2 linked regions of the Chlamydomonas reinhardtii genome follow. The protein of the gene in region 1 interacts with the protein of each later gene in a pairwise test. Links are inferred from orthologs where the notes say so. Each region holds a gene or a part of one and is shown on either strand. Other genes may lie near its edges. The genes, in order: CHLRE_03g177053v5 and CHLRE_17g734400v5.

The links.
Region 2: the proteins of CHLRE_03g177053v5 (region 1) and CHLRE_17g734400v5 interact in binary tests that used the Arabidopsis thaliana proteins (3 or more experiments, as listed by UniProt). The link is inferred for Chlamydomonas reinhardtii from reciprocal best matches to the Arabidopsis thaliana genes CAND1 and CUL1.

Annotation. Positions count from the first base shown.
Region 1 is NC_057006.1:4,596,223-4,600,633, forward strand, and holds the start of CHLRE_03g177053v5 (uncharacterized protein), read left to right. Parts: upstream 1-1,577; 5' UTR 1,578-1,799; coding exon 1,800-2,005; intron 2,006-2,554; coding exon 2,555-2,624; intron 2,625-2,880; coding exon 2,881-3,090; intron 3,091-3,337; coding exon 3,338-3,506; intron 3,507-3,896; coding exon 3,897-4,029; intron 4,030-4,352; coding exon 4,353-4,411. Other genes in the region: CHLRE_03g177007v5 (uncharacterized protein), read right to left, coding at 66-229, 496-939, 1,159-1,210, 1,390-1,412. UniProt on the Arabidopsis thaliana protein: Key assembly factor of SCF (SKP1-CUL1-F-box protein) E3 ubiquitin ligase complexes that promotes the exchange of the substrate-recognition F-box subunit in SCF complexes, thereby playing a key role in the cellular repertoire of SCF complexes.
Region 2 is NC_057020.1:4,894,077-4,898,474, reverse strand, and holds the start of CHLRE_17g734400v5 (uncharacterized protein), read right to left. Parts: upstream 2,974-4,398; 5' UTR 2,748-2,973; coding exon 2,697-2,747; intron 2,607-2,696; coding exon 2,524-2,606; intron 2,406-2,523; coding exon 2,306-2,405; intron 1,958-2,305; coding exon 1,839-1,957; intron 1,617-1,838; coding exon 1,555-1,616; intron 1,217-1,554; coding exon 1,088-1,216; intron 888-1,087; coding exon 787-887; intron 512-786; coding exon 404-511; intron 92-403; coding exon 5-91; intron 1-4. Other genes in the region: CHLRE_17g734350v5 (uncharacterized protein), read left to right, coding at 3,171-3,393, 3,473-3,533, 3,684-3,766, 3,870-4,398.

The sequences.
Region 1 (4,411 bases):
CCTCGCTCTATTGCATTGTAGTTTGGGCTGGTATTTACAACCCCCTCCCACCCCACCCCACCCACCACCCGGTGTCGGTGACTGCCACGGTGCACTGCCCCGCCACCGCCTCCAGCGCCCCCAGAGCCAGCCGCTCGCCACCGCCGCCGCCGCCGCCGCCACCACCACTGCCAGCTGCCGCCGCCGGCTCCCGGAACACGGCACTGGCCTTCCAGCCGTCCGTCACACCCTGTGGTGTGGCGTAGTGTGGTGTGCGGCCTTAAGGCATACCTTGGTGCTCCACCTGTGATTTCTTCCGTCCTCTGCCCGATCGCACCTGCCTTGGAAGGCTGCGGACAAAACCTCCCACAAAAACCCCACCTGCTCCCGCCCCCCACCACCTGCTCCCGCCCCCCCCAAGCCCCCAGCCCCCTAGTCCCCACCCGCCTTGCCCGTACGACCACGGGCCTTGGACACCTCCCACCTCCCCTCATCCCTCGCCCCCGCCCCCCTCACCCTTATGACCACGGGCACATTGGCGGCCAGGTAGCGGCGCACGAAGTCGTCATAGCTCAGGTCGGCGGCGTGGACGGTCGGCAGCCGCCGGTAGCCGCCACTGCTGGGGGCACAGCCGGGGCCGCCGGAGCCGCCGGGGCCTGGGCCGCAGCTGCCGCAGCCGCCGCCGGGGCTGCCGCTGCCGCGCCCGCTGGCGCCTGCGCTGTCACCATAGCTGCATGCTGCTGCTACTGCTACACCGGCTCCTGCTGCCACCCTTGCTGCTGCTGCTGCTGCTGCTGCCCCTGATGCTGCCCCTGATGCTGCTGCCCCAGCTACATCGCCGCCCGCCCCAGCATCAGCCGTTTCCGCTGCACAGGCTGTCTGCGGCCGGCCCTGGTGCGGCTGCTGCTGGGCCCGCCATGCCTCCGCCAGCACCTCCCGACCGAACAGCAGCGGGTCGGACTGGGGCGTGTGTGTTTGTGTTGGTCAGGGCAGCGCCGGCAGTAGCAGGGGGGTTATGGGGGAGGGAGGGGAGGGGAGTCGGGGACGCAGGGGGCAGGGCGGGGAGTGGGCCGGGACACATTAGGTGGGTGGGTGCGTAAGGGTCAAAGAGGGGCACCAGTGGCAGGCCGGGTAGCGCGCTGCATGGCGCCTTCAATATCCCAGGGGGTTGGATCTCACCCGCGGAATGGCGGCGGGTGGCGCCCGCAGCAGCTCCAGCGTCAGAGCGGGGCTGCGAGCAGCCGCATGAGGGATGGAGGAGGGTGGGGGGAGAGGGGGGGGGGGGGGCGGCCGTCAACGACGAGGCCTTTTGGGGCAAGCTTCTATACCCAGTGACCTATTGCTTTGCACGGAGACGGTAACTAGCTTGAGCTGAAGGGTCGTGCGCAGACGAATCGTCGTAGCGCACACCTTATTCGCGGGCTTGGCTCCATAGCTCTCTGTTGTTATGCATTGGATGTGATTTTCGTTTGTTTATCTGTATCGTCAAGCGAATAGCCCGTTCTTAACAGACGGGGGCTCCAATGCCGGCATTGTTGGTTGCATGGTGCAGGTTTTGCAGCACGCGTCTAGACTCGACCGCAAACCCGTCTTAATTGCACTCGCACAAACCATAACAACGCGACTGGCGGGAAGTGCACGTCACCCACCACATTGGGGCGGGATCTTGTGCCCAAACCAGAGCTCGTGACCCCGCGGGGGACTTCGTTACATCAGGACATTCGATCTGAGCTAATTACGCTAGCGGCGTGACAGCTTCACGCACGGCGTTCGGTCTTTCGGTCCGGTGGTCGGTCGTTTAGGGCGCAGCGGCAGCAAAGATGGCGAGCACAGCTATTGTCGTCATTTTGGAGAAGATAACGAGCAAGGACAAGGACTTTCGCTACATGGCGACGTCCGACCTGCTCCATGAGCTGCAGAAGGACACGTTCAAGGTGGACTCGGAGCAGGAGCGCAAGCTCTGCAACGTGATCCTCACGCAGCTGGAGGACCCCTCGGGCGATATCTCCAACCTGGCCGTGAGCTGGTGAGCAGCAGGCCGGCGTGGCTGCGTGAGAGCGGCCGAGCGCGGCCTCGGCCCGGGGGATCGTGCCATGCCAAACCTGGGACTTCCGCCAAGTTATCTCCGCCCAGTGGCCTCAGGCTGCTAGCAATCTGCAAGCAGTGTGGTCAGGCCTGCTGCAAGACCGGGGGCAGGGCCGCGGGTGCTGCTGATGGGGGATAGGTGTGAGCGTTGCACAGGGGTGCGACGCAGAGAGAGAGCTGGGCGGGGCACGGACTGGGATGGGGCAGAGCGATGGCACTAAAGCGGTGTGGGGCCCGGAGCACCGAAGCCAGTTCGAAGGGAGGTCGGGGCCGGGGCGGGGGCTCCTGGTTTAACACGCGGCCTCCCCGCACGCCGGCATGCACACCCACCTCACCCTGGCTGCCTGCAGACCAGACCAGTCCAGCATTACAGCCACAGCCCGGCCCCCCCGCCCACGCGCACACGCACACGCACACACAAACCGGCTTCGTGCCTCACGCCCCCCTCCACATCTCTTCCCCCCATCTCCCGCCCCTCCATCCCCCTCAGCCTGGGCCACCTGGCTCGCAAGGTGGCGGAGTCGCGGGCCGAGGACCTGGTGCGGCAGCTGTGCGACAAGGTGTGTGTGGGTGGACGGGGTGTGTGTGGAGGTGGGGTTGCAAAGACGGTACAGAGAAGCAAGGGGGGACAATGGGTGAGCGGGAGGTGGGAGGTGGGAGGTGGCAGGGCGCGGGCGGGGCGGCGGCGTCACGGGGGCGTGGTGTGCAGTCCCACCCCCCTAGCACCTGCATCACCAGTCCCACCACCACCATCCCCATAGCAACACCACCACCCCCATCCCCTACCACCTCACCACCGCCACCGCCATTGGGCAGGTGGCCGGCGGCGCGGCGGGCGGCGCGGGCGGCTCCGGCGCCGCCACCAGCGCCGCCGCCAGCAAGGCGCGCGACGCCCAGCGCGAGATCGCCTCCATCGGCCTCAAGGCGCTGCTGAAGGAGCTGGCCGCCTCCGCCGCGCCCGGCCTGGCCGCCTCCGCCGCCGCCATCATCGCCGGACGCATGTTGGACGGACTGCAGGCGCACAAGGTGGGCGTGCGTGTGGGGGGAGGGTTGGGGGACGGGGGTGGGGGAAGGGAGGGACAGCCGCAAAAAACGTGTGCTTTGCAGGGGGGTCCCAAGGGATCAACGCATTGTACCTGCTCTGTCTGTCCACAAGAGCTCTTTCCACCGCCCCTCTACACACACACGTCTCTCCACCCCCAACCCCCAACCCCAAAAACCCCAAACCCTCCAACCCGACCCCCCCCCCAATCCCCAAACCCTGCACCCCCAGGACGACGCGGACGTGACGGGCCATGTGCTGGACATCCTGGCGGAGCTCATCAGTCGCGGCGGCGGGCTGCTGCCGGCGGACATCCAGGGCCGCGTGCGGGACGCGCTGCTGGCGGCGCTGATGGGCGAGGGCCGACTGCTGCTGCGCAAGAAGGCGCTGCAGGGGCTGGGTGAGTGAGCGATTGGGGGAGGGGTTGCAAGGATTGGTACAGAGAAGTGTAGTGAAGTAGACCCCAGGGGGAGGGGGAGGGGATGAAAGGGGGGATGGGCGGGGGGCAGGGGATGAGGGGTGGGTGGGTGAAGGGGGGAAATGTAGCTACCAGCCCAAACAAAGTTGAACCCATGCAAGAGAGCGAGGAGGAGAGCGTGGCCTATGCTTTGACAACGGAGCGGCACTCGGCGCAGGGGAGGTAGCCGTTCTAGGAGCCCGTAAGCCCCTTCCCTCCCTCCCGCCCCCTCCCCTCCTCCACCCCTTCCCCCCCTCCTCCCCCTCCTCCCCCTCCCTCCTCCCCCTCCTCCCCCTCCTCCCCTCCTCCCCCCCTGCCTCCTGCCTCCCGCAGCCGCCCTGTCCGTGTACCTGACTGACGACGCGCTGGCGGGTGTGGTGGGGCCGCTGCTGGCGGCGCTGCAGCAGCAGCCGGGCGTCAAGGCCGACTTCGCGCGCACCTACGTGCAGGCTGTGGGGCAGGTCAGGTGAGGAGGGCGTGTGAGGAGGGGAGAGGGGGAGGGAGAGGGAGGCGGGTCAGGTGATGAGGGGGATGGGGATGGGAGAGGGAGAGGGAGAGGGGGAGAGTACGTGATGAATTAGACCTAGGACGCGGAGGCGTGTATTTGTGTGTTGTGCTACACGTGGTGGCATGGGGCCTGGCAGCTTCCTGGGGCCGGGGGGCGGGGGGTTGCAAAGCTGGTTGGACAAGCGGTACAGGATGCCCTGAAGACTGCAGACGAAGTCGGGGGGACACGTCACAGCCGCTAACGATCCACCGGCACCCTCACCACCCCAATCACCCCGCCAGCCGCGCTGTGGGCTACCGCTTCGGCCGCTACCTGTCTGTGGCGGTGCCGCTGGCGGTGC
Region 2 (4,398 bases), on another chromosome or scaffold:
CCACCTTGTCGTCCCGCAGCAGCGCCGCGCAGCCGCTGTGCTCCTTGGTCAGCAGCCGCGTCTCGTAGTTGGACAGCAGCTCCGTCTCCACCTGCAGGCGCATGAGACAGGTGTGGGCGTGGGTGCGCAGAAGTGTGCAGGCAGGTGTATGAGTGCAAGGGAGGCGGAGTGCGCCAAGTGCGCCCACATTCGTCAGCACCAGGCTCTCCGTAATGTGCATGAGTGACGCGGCGTGGGGCTCAGCGCCTCCCAAAGTGCTGCATCCGAAACCACCGACCGCCCCACCCAGCCTGGACGCCTCCGTCAGACCCCCCCCACGCTTGCCTCCTCGCTCTTTTGCATTTGGTTCGAAATAGTATCTACAATTCCCCCATCCCTCACACCCACCCAGCCGCCCCCTCACCTCCTTGAGCAGCTTGTTGCGCGTGGTGGCGTGTAGGTAGTTGTCCACGCGCTCCTCCTCCAGGCGCAGGCACTCCTCCGCCTTGAGCATGTAGTCGGGGCACGAGTCCTGGACGCGCCAGGGAGTGCGGAAGCGGCGCGGAGCGGCGGAGAGGATTTCAAATGCCCGACGTTGACAGCAAATGGCGTACCGTACGGGATGCAGCACACGTACAGCGGCGGGCGCAATCGCGAAAGCATGCCTGCCGGGCTTGTCCATCTCCGCCGCAGCGCTGACCCACATCGCAATCTTAAGCCGGGGCTCCTGCCGGCCCTAACTCGTCCGCCCCGCCCGCCGTTCCTGGACAAAAAACATGAGTCCAATCCGGTCGCCCACCCGCCCACCTGCTCAATCCACTGCGAGGCCTTGCGGCGATAGAACGCGGACGTCTCGGTGAGCAGGTACTCCTCAAAGTCCTTCTCGTAGCAGTCCATGTTGCTCATGCCTGTGTGCGTGTGAGGTTCGAGTATCAGAAGCGGTGGCTGAGGTCTGCCGCCCCCGCCCCCGCCCCAACCCCAACCCCTCTCCAACGTCACTTATGGCCCCTCTCCGCCAGCCGCTCCCCTCCCCGCATAGGGCCCGCTATCGTCATCCCACATACACCGGCTACTACGCCCGCAGTCATCTCTGGCGCCTGCTGCTCACCCAGCTCGATAAAGATGCCCAGGATGTTCTTGACCAGCGCGCGGTCCACCAGCTCGCCCTCGCGCTCCTTCTCCACCAGCAGCAGCACGCCGTCCTTGGTGCGCTTCTTGATCTCCACGTACACCAGGTCTGTGCTTGTATGGCGGAGCCGGGGGCACACAGGGTACACGCAGAGCAAGGGGCAGGGTGGACGGGGTGCCTCGCTGAGGAAGTAATGAGTTGGGCGGCTTCACGGCAGGCTGGCTGGCAAAGCTCAGCAACAGCACCCAACCCTGACTAGGCCGACCATGTGGGTGATGCGTTGAATTGCGGGTCCTGCGCATGGCTGGTCCCGTCCCGGCAGTCCGCCGGGCGCCACTGGATTCTGATACTTCTGGCCCATTGCTTCTTCTGCTCCCACCCCATCGCAGCTGCTGCCTCTTGCTGCCGCTGCCGATCACTGTCCAACCCCATTGCAGCCCCCTCACCCTTGAAGCACAGCAGGCCCACGTCCTTGAGCGGGTGCAGAGAGTGGCGCAGCACGTAGTACCTGGCAGTGAGGGGGCCCGGGCAAACGGCAGCGCATACAGACAGAACACGGTTGGCATCAAGCTACCGCATGTGGCTCAACAAGAAACATATAGATAACCGCCACGCGCTCCGGGTCCCAGTCCTCAACCGCACACGACTAGTCCAACCTACTGCTCTGCACAAACAAACACCCCATGCATCCCGGCCCCGCGCCAACCCACCAGCACCCTCTGTCCCTCACCGGTCCAGGTAGTTGAAGAAGCGCGACAGCCAGCGCACCATGAGCTTGTGGTTGCCCCAGCGCTGGTACAGCTCCTTAAGCAGCACCTCGTCGCGGTGCTCGCGCAGAGAGGGCAGCACCTGCGACGGCGGGGGGCGGTGAGTGGAGGTGGGGGGTTACAAGCTCGGATGCGCAAAGAGGAACATTTGGCACGACTTTGAGTGTTGCGGGTCGAATGATGCGGGTGGGGCATTCACGCTTCCAGGCGTACGGGCCGCAATGCGGGCGACGTAGGCTGAGTCGAGGGGGATAGCAGGATTGCGTCAGAAATGGAACAGCAGGCATAGCAGGTAAGAGGCTGCGCAAGGCGCGTGCTCAAACGGCATGGGATCGGGTGGCAACGTACAAAGCTGCAATGCTGTGTGTGGCCTGGGCTGTATGGGCGTGGGCGCAATGCGGGTTCAAGCGGGGTGCGCCAGAAGGCGCACCTTCTCGTTTATGTACTTGTTGAACGCGTCCCTGTACTTGCTGTACAGCTGCTCCGAATAGTCGTGCGGCGGCTTCTGGGTGCACATGTTGTAGATAGTCCTGAAGGCGAAGAAGGACGCAAGGCACCGAGAGGCGCGAGGGCAAGCGTGGGTCAGTCGCGGAAGGCACCGGCAGGGTGTGGCGCGGCCCCAACCATGCCCAGACCAACACAACTTACGTGTACAGGTGCATATACTGCTCCGCGTTAAATTGGTCCTCTGGCTCTCCCTCCAGCAAGCGGATGAGCTTCTGGATGCCTTTCTGCTTGGGCCAAGACGTGACCGAGGTGAGCCGGGAAATGCAGATGCAGATCCCGCCCAAGCTCCTCTGCTGCACATGCTAATGCCCCACCTCCATAAAGCTCCATCCTTCTGCCAGCTCGATAGGCTTGCGGTCCGCCATCTGTCAGCTGCGGCGCCAAGTCCGGGGCCCAGCCCGCTCGCCCTGGCGCCCCCGGGCTCGAGGCTGACGCAACTAAGAGCTCAAGAGAGGTTTCCGAAAGCGGACAGTCCGGGCCAGGGAGCGTCACGTTTGCCAAACGCCTTGGTCGCAAGGGTTCTCTGGTTTATGTCAAGCGGGTCTCTAAGGCGCTGCAAATATAGGTTGTCCTGACCAATCTACATTTAACTATCACTGTATACAGGCACACGCACATAACAAAGGCCCGCAGACCGCAGTCTGAACTCGCGTTCGCCCATTGCACAAGTCGAGCTCGTTCAAGGACCTTTCCAACTATTACATGTAAACCTTTCTACTATTTTTATTAAAGATGCCAATACTTTGGCTGGCTTACTGAAGGGAGACTGAAGCTGCGCAAGTGGCACCATGTTCAAGCGAAAACCAAAGCCTGCCCCTCCAAAGCCTCTTCCGCCAGCGCGAAATGTTCCTGCGGCTACACCACCGCGGCCGTCGCTGGCCCGAGCGCCCTCACGGCGATTGACCATCCATGAGACTTTGCAGCAAAGCCAGGGAGCGCTATTCCGCCTGCGGGGACTCAATCCTGGCGATCTCCAGGCGTTTCCGTTGCTGAACGAAATCCAGCGGCTGAGTGAGTCGGCGTTTGACTTCCCCGGATGGTCAGCGCTGTGCGCTGACCAGTAGTACTGTGCTTGGCCCGCGCCGTGCAGTCCAACACCTCAAGGAGGCAACCGCGGCCTTAGCTCCAGCCGACCGAGAGGCATGGTCGTAGTGAGTACATATACGCGCGTGCGCGTGCGTAGGCTGAGCTTGCGCGCACGGGTGCCATTGACCGTGGAGCGCCGTTCCAGCACGCGTGCTGCGTTGGCACCCGCTGCTCACAGCTTCGCGCCCCCGCGCATCCACCCCCTCCTCCCTCAGTCAAATCGCGGACCTGGATGAAGAGTTTCGGGAGCTTGCGGATGTGGTGGTGGCCAAAGCTGACGCGGCCAATCCAGCTCCAGGTGCGGTCCCCTAACTGGCCGCCAACCCCCGTGGCTGTGCCGTACGACCGCTGGCCACCGGCTTGACCGCTTGTACCAACTGACTATTATGTGCGGTTTGCAGAGCCGCGTGCACCGGCTGGCCGGAGTGTTGGGGGCCCTGGGCACAGCAACCACAGCCCCGCACCACAACCGCTGCTGCGGGGGCCTGCTCGCCCAGACCCCAGCATTGCCCCACCTGGCATGCGGCCCAGCCCCAGCGGCCGCGTGCAACAGGCCGTGGCGTTCTTCTCGCGCCATGGCCACGAAGGCCAGGCCGCGGGCCCACAGTCCCCCATGCCGCCTGCGGCCAGCTTGCACGCATTGCGACAGCAGCAGCAGCAGATGTACGCACAGCAACAACAACAGCATCCGCAGCAGTTCCATGCACAACAGCGGCAACACCCGCAGCAGCACCCGCAGCAGCTATACCCACAGCAGCAGCAGCAATCTCAGCAGGTCCCGGCAAGTCCCAGCGGGGCGTGGCAGCAGCCAGATTCGCAGCAGCAGCAGGGTGGCCCGCCTGTGGGGAGGGAGGAGCGGATCCTGCTGGCGCAAAGGCAGGCCGCACTGCTGGCGAAGCACCACGCCTTCCTGGAGCAGCAGCGGCAGGC